Danio rerio: one gene and its partner. The protein of the gene in region 1 interacts with the protein of each later gene in a pairwise test. Links are inferred from orthologs where the notes say so. Each region holds a gene or a part of one and is shown on either strand. Other genes may lie near its edges.

Region 1 (3,655 bases):
TTTAACGTAACAGTCCATTTGTAGTAAATTGTGTACATTGTTATTAATGCATTTAATGCGATTAAATCTCTTAAAGCACAAGATTTGTACAGTGCTACAAATTACAAATAGTGAAACACAATCTTACACTGACTAATAACATTTTGAACTACTTATAAATAGTGCGATAGGATTATATATTTATATAGTAGTTGAAGCAGCTAATAAATGTAGCATTTACACTCACTACCACTGGACAATGTTACTTTTAGTTGTCTCAAGTCATTTTGCTTGTGATTTTGATCCATAATGTCAAGAATGCAGTGAGTGTTTTCTCAGAAGTTTGTTACTGGTTATTCCGATACTTCAACAAAATTCAGTGTCACTTCCCCTGTAGGAGACTGGCTGGCCAGACTTTTGAGAATTGCAATGGACTCTCTGAAGGCCTTGACCTCTTCTATCTGCGCCTCAGCCCAAGGGAGAGATATCTGGAAGAAGCAAATAATGACATTTTCTTTCAGTTTTACCTTAAATTTGGCCCAAGCTAAACATTCATTCCATTTTTTAGTCTAAATATTTAAACGTAGCAATGTTGAACACAAAATAAGATATTCCTCCATAAAGTCAAGGGTTACAGGTTTTCAGCTTTCTTCAAAGGCCCAATCTCTATTCTATTTCTTACCTGTACCCCTTTCCTGGGGCCTTGAAACATTGTGAAGGGTAAGGGCTATTAGTTTTACGCCTAAGAAATGGGACAGCATTACTACACCTGCACAGGTCATCATATGTCATTGTGAGCTCTTACTTCATGAGCGATTGAAGACAGCGACTGCTGTAATTATTCTAGTTGCGTGATTTCTTTTAGAATTTATCTTTAGGAAATCACAGAAGGCAACGATATCATGTTATCATAATGACATAATGTGGCAATAAGCTCCTAACTGTACACTGTATTTACATCAAGGCCTTATTCATCATATGAAAACAACATTAATATTATAGCAGACACTGTAAAAAGCTCATTCCCAGCCACTAGACTTTTCTGACAGGGTATTCGAGTGTCATCAAGTGACAGATGTGAAAGTATGTTGTGGTACTACTATACTGGAGTTATTAGGGATTATAGATAGCAAAATTTGAAATATTTTGAAACTACTATGAAACTAATTTGTGCATCTCCTGACTTCTGAGTGCAGCCATTTTGCCGCTCAAGATGATGTATTCTGGAAAATTTTCTTAGCACTTGGTTTCGAGTGTGGTCCTGAAAATCTCAGTTTCAAGGGTTATCGAACCATTCCCCTAAGCCCTACTCCTTCAAGGTAAAGAGAATTGGGACACCCCTACAGCTTCTGGTCCTATCGTACACCCGGGCGGCTCAATAAAGTGCAAGACGTGTTTGGCCTGATGTGTTTCTATTTTGAGACCAGCACAATTTTCCCATTTTGCTCCACGCTTTTTAGATAGCAAATCCATTGGCACCACTTATGGATGTGGTGGTCTAGAAAGGTGTGTTAAGGCGCATTGTTGGTGCGTTGCTATTTCGAAGAACTAAAATGGACTGCGCAATTGAGTGTGTTAGTTGTATGCCTTAAACACGTACACACTGCTTAATACACGCAGCATGTACAGCAATACGCAAATATCTTTACATATGAAAAAAATTAAAGGATTAAAATATTTTTAAAAATGTGGGCATGTTTGGGTATAACCCTGACCAAACGTTCGTTTGCTGGAAATTAAAATTGAATTAAGATATAGTTTTAAACAAATCTTTGTGGTTAAAAGTCAAGAGAAAGAAAAAATAAAGAGGCAGAATGTAGGAGGCTTATTCTTTATCCTCGCGCTGCAGATGGTCTGTTTAACTGTTTTCTCGGTAGTAAAGTGTTTAGTTTTTCCACTTAAAAAGTCTGCCATGTAAATAGCAAATGCACCATGGCGCAACGCAACTGACTTTTAAAGGGAATAGGATATGAGATCCTGATTGGTTTAATGCCTGTTATGCTCAAAACACACCAACAACTCATAAAAAAATAAGCACAACCCTGTTAGACCATGCACCAGGGTGCAGAGCGATTCGGACATGCACTTAATTCTTTTGCGCCATGCACTTTAGACTTTTAGACACTTTACTTTTCAGTAAATTTTAATTTCTGGGTTAACTGTCTTATTAATTATCCTATTTACATATTTATATAGTAATTGGTCACAAATCACAATGTTGTTTAAACTTGTTTAGTTGATCAATCAGTATTCTCTATATTATATCAAGGAGCATAGACAATGAGCAAAACATCATTTGTGTTTGAAAGTACACTTTTTTTAAACCTACTCTTTAAATTCTTCAAATTTAAGATAGCAGTTTAAACATTAAAGGGCACATTTTTTACCCCTTTTTCTAGATTTAAGATGAGTCTTTTGTGTCCCCAGAATGTGCCTGTAAAGTTTCAGCTTAAAACACCCATCAGATTATCTATAATACCTTTCAGAATATTGGATTTTCTGCTTTAAACAAATTGGAGCTGTTTTTGTTGCCTGTGCCTTTAATGCTAGATCTCCCTGCCCACTGTTCCCACGTACCGGTCAGAGTGTGCCTTAATCTCCGCCTCGGCTGCATCAGATAGACAGCACAGTGACAGACATGAGGGAAGCATATCTCACAAACGTTTGTGAGAAATACTACAGTAAGAACTTTCCCAATGATTATTTGTTGTATTTGTTGTGGGGTCGCAACGATGAGTCACACACAATGTCATTACAAAGTTCACACGCACATACACACAGTGTATGCGTTTAACTTTGCACTGTTTTCACATGGCAAATGTGACAGGATACACGTTAATATCCACTGCTGTATGGATATCCGTCATTTTAATGTACAAAATAAACCTGACTTAACTCCCACAAACTGGGATTGAAGCGTTTTCTTTTATAATTGTACTGACACGCGGCTGTGGTGATAAAGATGGTAAAATTGCTGTAATCATTACAAACATGCACTGTTTTGAAAACGTTTTAAACTTGTAAAACTCATTCTTGATCACATTTGAAGATGATTGATGATCTCGGCAGGCTGAACAGATCTCTCAATCCCAGTTGCTTTGTGCACATTCTGTCCTTGTTGATATGTTTATACGTGTTACTTTGAAGACATGTTAATATGCGGCTGTCAATCAATTCAGTGCGTGAGGAAACTGCCCTTCCACGTAACGTTGTGGTGGGCCTCAAAATGGGAAGTGATTTGGATTTGGATCCTATTTATCATCAGGAAATAAAAAAAAAGAGACTTATTGTCTTTTTCTCACCCTAATATGACAGTGGACACACCATACTACACACAGTTCTGTCCAAACACACTTACAAAAGATAATTTTCATCATTGGTGCCCTTTAACTTAAATGACAAATGTAGTAATGATCTATATATGTACATCAATTACGCATTTACCTTAATGATGATGTGTTTATCAGAGATGTTATCTCCCTCCAAGAGCTCCTCTCCAAAACAAAGAATGATCTCACTTTGAGGTTGTTTTCCTCCATTGCGGAAACATTCCAACTCTGAGAGGAAAAAAAAGAGGAAGAGAAATTTGGTATTATACAAAGAAGCTTCTAGTTTTAAGTCACAGGTCTTGCTAACAATGCTAATGTTGCTGACAATATTGCTAACATTACTGCTT
Region 2 (4,108 bases), on another chromosome or scaffold:
AACCTCAGATTATAAAAGGGAATAAGCCTATACGAAAATGAATGAATGAATGAAGGTATAAATGAATGAATATTTGTATAATATAATGTATAATTTGTGAATAATATATGTATGATATAATGATATGATGTACAAACATTCAAATGAATGAATGAACGTTCACACAAACATGCTTGTAAATGAATGAATTAATGGACAAACACAAAGTTAATCATACATGCATACAAACAAAACAAACAAATATACATGTGAATGCATGATGAATGAATGAATGAAAGAATGAATGAATGAATGAATGAATGAATGAATGAAAGAATGAATGAATGAATGAATGAATGAATGAATGAATGAATGAAAGAATGAATGAATGAATGAATGAATGAATGAATGAAATCCACTCGCAGTTCTGGACGGTTTTGAGGCCTGTGAGAAATACACATCTCGAAACCTAACATACCACAGAGCAGCACACACACATATCCAGCAGCTCCGTCATGACCCTCCTGAGCACGCTTCTGGCTGTCAGGCTTCCAGCACGGTTTCTTTGAAACGGAGACTCTTACAGGAAGCAGAGCCGGAGCAGCGGCGCCCTCTGTCGGCAGACTCTGCAACATTTCCCGGAAACCGACTGACTTCTGCAGACTGAACCCCGACCCGCTGCACTTTATACCGGCTCCATAACGAGACACTCACACACTGAACAGTGCAGAATTAACCTGCTGTCTGAATCATGATAGCACTCACAGAGTGACAGAGCCACTACACACACACAGCTCTAATACATCAACTTCACACACTGTTGGAGATTCCCCAGTACTGGGTTGCAGCTGGAAGGGCATCAACATGTGCTGGAAAAGTTGGCGGTTCATTCCGCTGTGGTGACCCCTGATTAATAAGGGAATTAAGCTGAAATGAATGAGTGGATGAACAGTGCTGTAGAAGTGTAACTGATGATTGTGAGGTTGTGTTTGGGATAATCGCATATGTGTGTGTCGCGTGGGCGTGTGTGCAGTATGCTGCTGTGGTATGCTGAGGGTGTGTGTGTGTGTGTGTGAGAGAGTGTTTATCCAAACTGAATTGTCTTCCGCACGTAGTCCGTCTCTCTCTTATACAGCATGATTTCTCGGAAATCAGCCTCGCTGTGTGGAGCGCTGCCTGTGTGCGCATGCGCCTGCTAGAGCAGGGAAAATTCCCCGCGCCGTCTTCGGCTCTATATATACAGCAGCAGCAGCAGAGCCCTGCTCACAGTACAGTTAACCTGAACTTCAGCACAGTCACTTCAGCTGTTCTTCTCACTGAGGACTTACTCACGCCTTCACACGGCCAACTCTCGCTGCGCTCTGCACTGTAGGATTTACCCTCGCTCTATTGGTGAGTGTTGTGATTATGCCTGATGTGTTCTTATATGCTGTATATGATGCTGGGTATTTATTTCACTTCAATTCCATGAAATATGGACAAGCTCGAAAGTTGGGTTAAATTTGGTCATATGCATTTAATTAACTCAGTTTACATTTAGTTTGGAATTGAGTTGAAATAATCAAGTGTGTGTGTGGATAATGTGCAGATTTCTGTTCATCCTGCCCTCTGAGGACTCTCAGTTCTGTCTGTCAGTGATGAATGCATGTTAAATGGACATTTCTGAACTCTTGTTTAGCAGAGCAGCGCGTTTCCTGCTGCTTTTACAGATTAATTGTAAATGTTTTTATTTTTTATGAATGCAGATGTACTCTTAATGTTTAATATAGTTATTTTACAAATATGAACTTACTCTTAATGTCTATTTTTAATTTGATATGTTTTATTGAAAGGAAACACACTTTACATACAATACAAAAGAAACATGACCGTTTCCTTCTGTCTGTGTTCTCTTATTCTTCTTTATCATCATTTTCCACAAATGCAGAATTAATCTTAATGTTTCTCTTTTACACGCACACATATTCAGACTTTTAAATACAAATGCAAAAGTATTCCTAAAGTTAATTTTCTTTTAACAAATGCACAATAACTCAGAGTGTCTCGTGGTGAGGTGTGAGCTAAACACACTCTTCAGCGCTGTGCGCGCCCACAGACACGCCTCCTCATCTGCGCATGTGCAGCTCCGCTAATCCTACACTTGTCTCTGTGCTGCAGAAGTCATGCCCGTGTCCAGAATGCGCATGCGCCCCTGGCTGGAGAGCAGGATCGACTCCAACACCATCAATGGACTCATGTGGGTCAACAAGGTAAAGCCGAGCGCTGCACACACTCATCAGAAGCCACTGTTCCAGCATCAGCAGAGCTTTACAGATGTGTGTGTGTGTGTGTTTGCAGGAGGAGAAGATGTTCTCCATCCCCTGGAAACACGCAGCTCGGCACGGCTGGGAGGTGGATAAAGATGCCTGTCTGTTCAAGCAGTGGGCCATTCACACAGGTGAGAGAGCTGTCAATCATCTATACCTGTGACACTGCTGTCAGTGTTTCCTTCACTGCAACTAACACTTACATAGAGTCTAAATATCTGAACATTCTGAAAGCAAGAAGCGTTTTCTAGAGAAGCAACAGATATGTAGTGTTGTTGAGTCGGCATGTGCAGTGTTGAGTGTTGTAAAGACCTCTAGTAAAGCTCTACTGAGTGCACTATACAGTAGCAGTGGATGTGACCGTAGTGCTGTTCATTTCAGGTAAATATAAGGAGGGAGTGACTCAGCCTGACCCCAAAACCTGGAAAGCCAATTTCCGCTGTGCAATGAACTCGCTTCCGGATATCGAGGAGGTGAAGGATAAAAGCATCAACAAGGGCTGCGGGGCGGTGAGAGTTTACCGCATGCTCCCCGCCGTCAGCAAGAAGATCAAGAGATCCAAGAGCCGAGACTCCCGCCGGCGGATGAAGGTGAGCGCAGCGCATTATTATAATAATCACAACACATATGTCAGGTATAGCACCTCAAGCATCCCATTTCTGGGATTTTTGTCCAAATAATTTTGGTGTAAATCAAATTTTTTATTATCAGATTTTTATAATTTTGGTGTAAATTAATTTTTTTATTATCAAATTATTATAATTTTAGTGTAAATCAAATTTTTTATTATCAAATTATTATAATTTTAGTGTAAATAAAAATTTTTATTATCAAATTTTTTAAATTTTGGTGAAAATCAAATTTATTATTATTTTTTTTAATAATAAATATCTATTAATGTGTTTATATTAGACATTTTTATGTTTTTTTTTATGTTTTTGGTAAATGTGTAAATGTCTTGAACTTTTCAGATTAAACAAACAATTTTAAAAAATCTAAATAAAGTCACTTATGACAAAAAAATGTCCTTAAAGATGCCAGCAACCAATCAAAACAGAGAAAAACAAACATAAACATATATAAAGCAGAGTCAGAGCATGTCAAATAATCAGACCAAATCAGGTGTGTGTGTGTGTTTAAACTGAAGATCTGAACATGCGCGTGTGTGTGTGTGTGTGTGTGTTATTATTCAGAGTCTGTCTCAGAAAGTAAAGCTGGAGGACATGAGCAGTGAGGACACGTCTGCAGAAATGACCCAGGAGAACACCATCGACAGCACTCAGAGCACACCACGTAAGTGTGTTCAGACCCACAGCAGCAGAGGACGCTTCCCTCATCTGTGTTAAAGGGGACAGTTCACTCTGAGATATGCAAACGTGCAGACTGAGCGGTGAAGCTGGAGTCTGATGTTCTCATGTCTTCTCCTGCAGACACTTCCAGTCCTACTGTTGGGTATGAGGTGGAGATCGGCCCTGACAGCACATGCAACGACATCTACTCTCGATTCCAGGTGTCTCCAGTGCACTCCACAGGTAATCACACACACACACACACACACACACACACACACACACACACACACACACACACACACACACAAACACACACACACACACACACACACACACACACACACACACACACACACACACAGTACTCTTCTCCATGATGACAGCACATAATATTAGACTAGATATTCTTCAAGACACTAGTGTTCAGCTTACAGTGACATGTAAAGGCTTCACTAGGGTAATTAGGGTAAAGTTAGGGTAACTAGGCAAGTCATTGTATAACAGTGGTTTATTCTGGAGACAATCCAACAC

What was found.
Region 2: the proteins of irf9 (region 1) and irf1b interact in a two-hybrid assay, tested with the Homo sapiens proteins (2 studies listed by BioGRID and IntAct). The link is inferred for Danio rerio from reciprocal best matches to the Homo sapiens genes IRF9 and IRF1.

The regions. Positions count from the first base shown.
Region 1 is NC_133187.1:13,875,690-13,879,344, reverse strand, and holds part of irf9 (interferon regulatory factor 9), read right to left. Parts: intron 3,537-3,655; coding exon 3,424-3,536; intron 468-3,423; coding exon 333-467; 3' UTR 1-332.
Region 2 is NC_133196.1:49,886,050-49,890,157, forward strand, and holds the start of irf1b (interferon regulatory factor 1b), read left to right. Parts: upstream 1-1,258; 5' UTR 1,259-1,371; intron 1,372-2,136; 5' UTR 2,137-2,141; coding exon 2,142-2,228; intron 2,229-2,316; coding exon 2,317-2,416; intron 2,417-2,666; coding exon 2,667-2,875; intron 2,876-3,478; coding exon 3,479-3,578; intron 3,579-3,715; coding exon 3,716-3,817; intron 3,818-4,108. UniProt on the Homo sapiens protein: Transcriptional regulator which displays a remarkable functional diversity in the regulation of cellular responses.